Linked DNA regions of Canis lupus familiaris. The protein of the gene in region 1 interacts with the protein of each later gene in a pairwise test. Links are inferred from orthologs where the notes say so. Each region holds a gene or a part of one and is shown on either strand. Other genes may lie near its edges. The genes, in order: ALDH16A1 and DERA.

The links.
Region 2: the proteins of ALDH16A1 (region 1) and DERA interact in binary tests that used the Homo sapiens proteins (3 or more experiments, as listed by UniProt). The link is inferred for Canis lupus familiaris from reciprocal best matches to the Homo sapiens genes ALDH16A1 and DERA.

The regions. Positions count from the first base shown.
Region 1 is NC_049222.1:107,716,029-107,719,850, reverse strand, and holds part of ALDH16A1 (aldehyde dehydrogenase family 16 member A1), read left to right. Parts: intron 1-2,530; coding exon 2,531-2,633; intron 2,634-2,959; coding exon 2,960-3,086; intron 3,087-3,632; coding exon 3,633-3,811; intron 3,812-3,822.
Region 2 is NC_049248.1:15,433,627-15,437,448, forward strand, and holds part of DERA (deoxyribose-phosphate aldolase), read left to right. Parts: intron 1-2,018; coding exon 2,019-2,153; intron 2,154-3,822. UniProt on the Homo sapiens protein: Catalyzes a reversible aldol reaction between acetaldehyde and D-glyceraldehyde 3-phosphate to generate 2-deoxy-D-ribose 5-phosphate. Participates in stress granule (SG) assembly.

The DNA.
Region 1 (3,822 bases):
TTTTCTAGATTTTATTTATTTGAGAGAGAGTGAGAGAACACAAGCCACAGAGCCACAGGGAGGGGCAGTGGAAGAGGCAGAAGCAGACCCCCTGCCTGCTGAGCGGGGAGCCTGACTCCAGGCTCCATCCCAGAACCCTGAGATCATGACCTGAGCTGAAGGCAGACGCTTAACTGACTGAGCCACCCAGGCACCCTCTCTGGGGGTATTTGGATTTGAAACTTCTGACTCACCATTTTCCTTCAAAGAAAAATGAGAGAACCAATTGGCAGGGTAAGAGGAAAATTGGGTGAATGTGGCTTTGGGATGCTAAGAAGAGAGCAATTGTAGAAGGAAAAAGTGGAAAGTGTGTCTTGGATTTTTCCAGGATTTAGGGAAGACAGGATCAAGGGGAGAAACATGGAGCAGACATGGAAGGCTAGGTGCAGTAAGATTAAGAGGAAATCCTACATGGTGCTGCTCTGAGTTTATTATGTGCACTGATGCACTTAATCCTCGCCAGAGCCCTGTGAAGTAGGGAGGGGCTGTGATTATCCCCATCTTCCAGATGGCTTAGCCAAGGCCAGGGTATTATAACACCCTGGCTAGGGTTGCACAATAGTACCAGAGCCAGGATTCAAATTTGTAGCTCTAGGGACTTCATAGCAGGCTTACCATGCCTGTGTGCTGTGCCTTGGGCTCAGGTAGACACATAACAGCCAAATAAGCTGTGCCTGGCAGGCCTGTGTCTTCTGTCCATATCTCTCCTCAAAGTGATGACTGCTAAGGGGGGAGAGAATGGCATCACACCATTGGATGCATAAGCCACCTGGCTTAAAAACCCCACCTCCCAAAAAAAGGACCTGATCACTGCCTGATACAGTGTTACGGGCAATGCTTCCAGGGTTGTGACAAGGTATGTGCCCAATCCCAGGAATGCAGAGCACTCCAGAAGGCCCCAATGCCTTGGCTTCCCACTGATATCTATGGCGTGTTCTCAATTGTCCTACTCAGGTGTGGTGGACCATTCAGGGGTCACTGATGACTGGTAATGCAGCTGAATTGTCTCAGGTTTCCTGAGAAATAGAAACCTGACCTGAGGTCATTTCTCCATGGAGGAGAAAGGGTTTTATTTTATTTTATTTTATTTATTTATTTATTTTTTTGAGAAAGGGTTTTATTAAGCCACATTTCAAAGTCAGTAGGACAGCCATTACATGTTGCTGGTGAGAGGGTAAAACTGTGCAGCCACCATGGAACCCAGTTTGGTGGTCCCTCCGTAAGTTATACATGACCCAGCAATTCCCTTCCTGGGTACATAAGCCCAAAAGAAATTGGGACGCTTGGGTGGCTTAGTGTTGAGTGTCTGCCTTGGGCTCAGGGCGTGATTCCAGATCCCTGGATTGAGTCCTGCATCCGACTTTCTGCAGGGAACCTGCTTCTCCCTCTGCCTGTGTCTCTGACTCTCTCTTTCTGTGTCTGTCTCACATGAATAAATAAATAAATAAATCTTTAAAAGAAAAGTGAAGACAGGTGTTCAAACAAAAACCTGTACATGCGTGTTCCAAGCAGTACTATTCACAGTAACCAGAAGGCAGAAACAAACTGAATATGCATTAACTGGTGATAAATGGATAAACAAAATGTGACCTGTCTAGACAATGGAATATCATATAGTCATAAAAAAGGAATGAAGCCTTTTTTAAAGAGAGAGAGCCGGGAGGGGCAGAGGGAGAGAGAATCAAGCAGGCTTCCAGCCGAGCTTGATCTCAGACTCTGAGATCATGATCTGACCTGAAATTGAGAGTCAGGTGCTTAGTTGACTAAGCCACTTAGGCAGGCACCCCAGGAATGGAGTTTTGATACAAGCAAATCATGGATGAACCTCAGAAACACTGTGTTGGATGAAAGAAACCAGTCAAAAAGTCACAGATTGTAAGGTTTCATTTCTGAGAAATAATCCAGAGTAGGCAAATCTGGAGAAACAGGAAGCAGATTAGTGGTTGCCAGGGACTAGTGTCAGGCGGAAGGGAGACTGAGTTTCCTTTGGAGGGGATAAAATGTTCTGGAACTAGATCATGGTGATGGTGGCACAATGTTGTTAACATACTAAATGCTAATAAATTATATGCTTTAAAATGAGGGGTGCCTGGATGGCTCAGTCGATTGAGCATCTGCCTTTGGCTTTGGTCATGATCTTGGGGTCCTGGGATCAAGCCTCACTTCTGACTCCCCACACAGTGGAGAATCTGCTTCTTCCTCTCTGCCCCTTCCACCTACTCATGCTTGCATGCTCTCTCGCTCTCTCTCTCTCTCTGTCTCAAATAAATAAAACCTTTTTAAAACATTTTTCAAAACTTTTTAAAAACTTAAAATGATTAATGTGATGAGTTTTAGATTATAATATATTTTACACTTTTTCTTCTACACAGGAAAAGAATTAGGGGGGCAAAGGGGTGCAGGTATCCCCCTCCCAGAGGATTCTAGGTGGGAATTGAGCTCCCCCATATGCCTCCTAGAGCCCTTTCCAAACTGTCTTCACCTCCCCCAGGCCTGGCTGGACACCCAGGACCGACGCTTGGGTCACTATGTGAGTGGAAAGTGGTTAAAGCCAGAACACAGGAATTCAGTGCCTTGCCAGGATCCCATCACAGGTATGAGGTGACCCCCAGGGGGAGAGAGGCATCTGTATCCCTGGCCAGCCTTACCTCCCAGCAACCCCCCATTCCCTTTGCTCTGAAGGCAGGGTGGAGCCAGTGGGAAAAAAACGCTCTTCCTATTAGCAGTCATCCTAATTACGTTCTACGTGCCTGTCAATGCTTTTTGAGATCACTCTCTACTAAGATCCTTTCCTTGATTATGGGGGACAAGCTTTTCTGCCTTGGGGCGCACCTGGGCTCTGGAAATCTGAGCCCCCTCCAGTTCTGACATGGGATCCCCCCACTCGTCTCATCTGGGGTGCCTCCATTCATCCCCCCAGGAGAGAGCTTGGCCAGTTGCCTCCAGGCACAGGCTGAGGATGTGGTGGCTGCAGTCGAAGTGGCAGGGAAGGCTTTCGAGAACTGGAGCGGACTCCCTGGAGCTTCCCGGGCCCAGCATCTGATCAGGTGATGGAATTGAGGTTTGGACCATGGGAGGTGGGAAAGGACTTCATCCTCCATCACCCACTTGAAACTGTGAGGACCCTCTATTTCCCGATATCTCACTGAGTTACTGGGTAGCTCAGGCTCCTATGCCCAGCATGCCTTGGTGCCTTTAGCAGTGAAAACATCCATACACCAGGACTAGTAATGAAGAAGTTCTAGTTCCCAGAATATCCCTGGGGTTTATCGAGGCTCCATCTTCCAGCACACTCTTGAGCCACCTAGAGACAAACATTCCATTTTCTAGAATACGACTGAGATTAGAGGTTAAACTTCAATTTCCATGCACCATTGGGGGTTGCGGGTGGCCCATATCATCACAGGGCACCCTCAGGCTTTGTGTTTTTTGGACTACGTTTCCCATGAATCTTTGTTGCTCTCCCCCCCGGTAAATGACAGGGATGCCCCCGGGAGATCATAAGGATTGTAGTCCAAGTACAGAGGAGGTGTTCTGGGACTGTGTGATGGAAGGGCAGTGGGAAATGACTATCCCCCTGGCTTTCTCTGCAGGCTGGCCAAGATGATCCAGAAGCACCAGCGGCTGCTCTGGACCCTGGAATCCCTGGTTACTGGGCGAGCCGTTCGAGAGATTCGAGACAAGGATGTCCCACTGGCCCAGCAGCTGCTCCAGTACCATGCAGTCCAGGCATGCACCCAGGAGGAGGTGCTGGCAGGCTGGGAGCCCATGGGTGAGAAGCAG
Region 2 (3,822 bases), on another chromosome or scaffold:
GTGTGTGTATTTAAGATTTTATTTATTTATTCATGAAAGACACAGAGAGAAAGGCGGAGACCTAGGTAAAGGGAGAAGGAGGCTCCCTACAGGGAGCCTGACATGGGACTTGATCCCAGGACCCTGGGATCATGACCTGAGCCAAAGGCTCAACCACTGAACCACCCAGGTGCCCCAAGTTTTATATATTTAATTATTTCTTTTTTACTCATTCTTTCAGTATCTAATTGCCTCCTGAGTAACAAACCATACTCGTTTTCAAGAATACAGAACTGTATCCCTGTCCTTAAGGAAACTTGGTTGTTTAGGAGGAATGATCGAGTTTAAAACATCAGGCAGGATATGTTGTATTATATATATGTAAAGTGTGATAGTAAAGATATGCAGAAGGTACAGTTGTAACTCTGAGCAGGGGGTGATTTATTTTGCACGGACTGGTAATGCTCAGAGAGTGAGGGGATTCTTCGTAGAGGAGATAACTGCTTGGGGTCTCAAAGGAGAAGGAGGAGTTGACGGTGTTGGTGAGATAGGGAATGGCATTTTAGAAGAACTAGCATGTGTGAAGACACAGAAGCATGCACAGGGAGCTGCAAGTAGTTTATAATTGTTGGATCTAAATTGGGATGAAGGGGGAGCTCTGGGAGTTGAAGAGGAAGAGGTAGATTAGGGCCAGTTCACATAGGGAAACCAGGTCTGGCAGTAGCATTTGGAGTCTATTCTGCTGATGGGAGGGATACTGCAAGATTTTAAGCAAAGGCATATCATGATCAGCTGCATGATGCAATGAGTCAGGGGGATGGTAGTGGATACAGTAGAGAGAGGTGACAGGGAGTTAAGGAGACTTACCATAGTCCATGTGAGAAGTGAGGAGAGCCACCCCAAAGCCTGGGAGGTAAAGAAGAGAGGGTATGTTCAGGAATTATTACTTAAGATAGACCCAATAGGACTTGGCAAGAAAGTAAGAAGAGTCTTTAAAGTTTCTGTGTAGGTGAGTGTGTGTGTGTGTGTGCGTGTGTGTGTGTTATGGATAGATACAAAATTAGATTGTACTTTTAGAGGAATATCCTGGTGCTTTAAAATAAGGAGTCTAAACATGATTACTTTATTTTATTAGGGATACATCAGAAGAAACACATAGTATTGATATACAAGCTACTTGTGAAGATTCTGAAAGTGTTTGGCAGCTACCTTAAATTTTTTCATCAGCCTCAGTCAATTCAACTTTTCTTTTATACAACAGGGAAACATGCTTCCCTCTAAGATAGCAGACCCAAGGAATTTAATAACATCAAGGAAATATAAAAGGTTATCATTAGTAATGGAAGTGGAATTAATGATGCACATGTAAAAAATGTAATGGTTTTTCTGAAGTGTAGCTGTGTTTCCATTTTTAAAGAAATTTGTGCTTGGTTTTGCTCTTCCCAACTCACCCCTGCCCCAGTTTTGTAGACTTTATTAGATGCTTTTCCCTGGTACAGTCTTTCCCTTTATTCTCATCTATATGGCTATTCATTTTAAGATAGGCAGTGAGAAGAACCTATGTTACCATTTGGTTACAACAGCTGTAAATGTTAGTGAGTAAATCAAGAATACAGTGATAACCAATTTGATTAAGAGTAGGATCCATAATTAACCAGTGTCCATCAAGACAAGTCTATAACTACTATTTTATGACTATCACTGTGATGATACATATTTTCTTAATTTCTGTTTATTTAAAGCCTGCTTATGAGCATCTCTACGGAAACTTAATTTCAGGTTTTTCAGACAACAAAATACTAATATTTATCCTAACTCCAATATCATGAGATGACATTCTGTTTCTTTGCACTTCACTTTATAAGATAAGGGTGTAGAAGCTCTTTAGTGTCATCTATTCCTTGATCAAAATGCTGTTTTGTTTTGTTTTGTTTTGTATGAAACTCCTAGTTGAGATACACCAACTGAAATTTGTCTCCCTCTCTCCCTCCCTTCCTATCCTCCTTCCCTCTTTCCTTTCTTTTCTCTCTCTCTACTAGTGGCCACTGGCTTTCCAGCTGGACAGACTCATTTAAAAACACGATTGGAAGAGATCAGATTGGCTGTGGAAGATGGAGCCACAGAAATTGACGTGGTCATTAACAGGACCTTGGTGCTGACGGGCCAGTGGGAAGGTATGTGCAAGTCCTTCCCCAAAAGGGAGACATAGTTCTTCCTGCGTGAATCAAACGGTGAGGATTGGATAAGAGGCAACATGTTTTGGAAGTCATTGTTCTAGGTTACAAGTCACCAGATCAGAGGGTGAATTTCAGAGAAAACATGGCTAGTATTGCTTTTCCTTGTTCCCCTCATAAATCCTAGGTAGTTGCCCACCTGCATTAACTTTTTAGATCCCTTTGAGTGCTTAGGTGAGTGGTTATTTCTATGCAGTAGATTATTAATTTTTATTCTATTCTCTAGTGTTTTATTACTCAATACATAAATCACTCTAGGCAAGTCATTTATGCAAAGTTTATTTTAATAGGTGGAAGAAACTTCCCTTTTTTAATGTTAATCTTGGTGGATTTTGAGGATGTGGACTTAGTAATAAGTCTGCTAAGTCTGTTTTCACTCCTGCTGTTCTTACACATAATTCCTATGGATACTACTTTATATTTACCTTTGAGATTCATGATTTACTATCATACCGATTATGATAAAACATCACCCATTTCAGTAACAAGCTGTTGTTTTTATAATTAGATATTAAAAAAATAGATTTGACCTTTGCCTTAAATATATTTTGTATATTAGAGATTGTTTGTTGATAGCTAAGATAAGTACAATTCTCTGCTTCAAAAAAATCATTATAAAAATAGTTCAACTAAAATTTTTAATTAAATCATAAGATAAAACCAGAATAATATGTTGTCTCTTTAGATAGGTGGATATGAAATACATGGCATATTTTATAGTCATTATTGAGGTTTTACCTGCTTGCTGTTAAAAACAAAAATTCTAACCAGTAATAAAGAAAATAGATGTTCCACATAATCTTATCCCCTAGAAATAACGTCATAACAGCACAATTTTTCAGACTTTTTTCTCTTCATATATACACACATGCAACTGACATCCTTTTTAAAAGTTTAAATAAAAAGTAGGATTATACTTAATGTATTTTTTTTTAGTCTACTTATTGGACTTGCCAATGTCTCATTGTTATCTTTCTGTGTTGCTTATCCATCGGTCCATCTAGCTTATCTTCTATAAATCCTAATTCCATTGTTTATCCATTAAGAATTGCTTTTGGTTACAGAGTAGCAAAGATTTAGTAGTTTCAACACTTGAGGATTTATTTTCTTATACAAAATCTGGAGGTAGGTATTTCAGGGGTACTGTGGCAGTCCCAAAAAGTTCTTAATGACCTATGCTATTTTGATCTTCCACTTCCAAAGTGGATGGGGTGGCTTCTACTCTCAGACTTAAGGGCACTCCATCATCTAAGATGGCTTCTGAAGCTCCAGCCTTTCCACTCATCTCCCAGATAACAGGAAAGAAGGGCTGTCTTATCCTAAAAGTCTCCCACAGCATTTTTGTATATACCTCCTTGGCTCAAACTGAATTACATGGCCATCTTGGCTGCAAGTGAGGCCAGAGAATGTAGTCTTTTAGCTTAGAATGTTAACTGTGTTCTCATACATTCTTAACAAGTTAAATGATGTACATTTCTGTGCCCAGATGGAAAGGACTGAGGGAAGTTCTGGCATGGAAGGACAGATTGCAATAAGGAGCTAAATGGGGACTGACATTAAAAAGCTTAATAGCAAAGGATCTTATGAAACAACAATAACACAAATATTT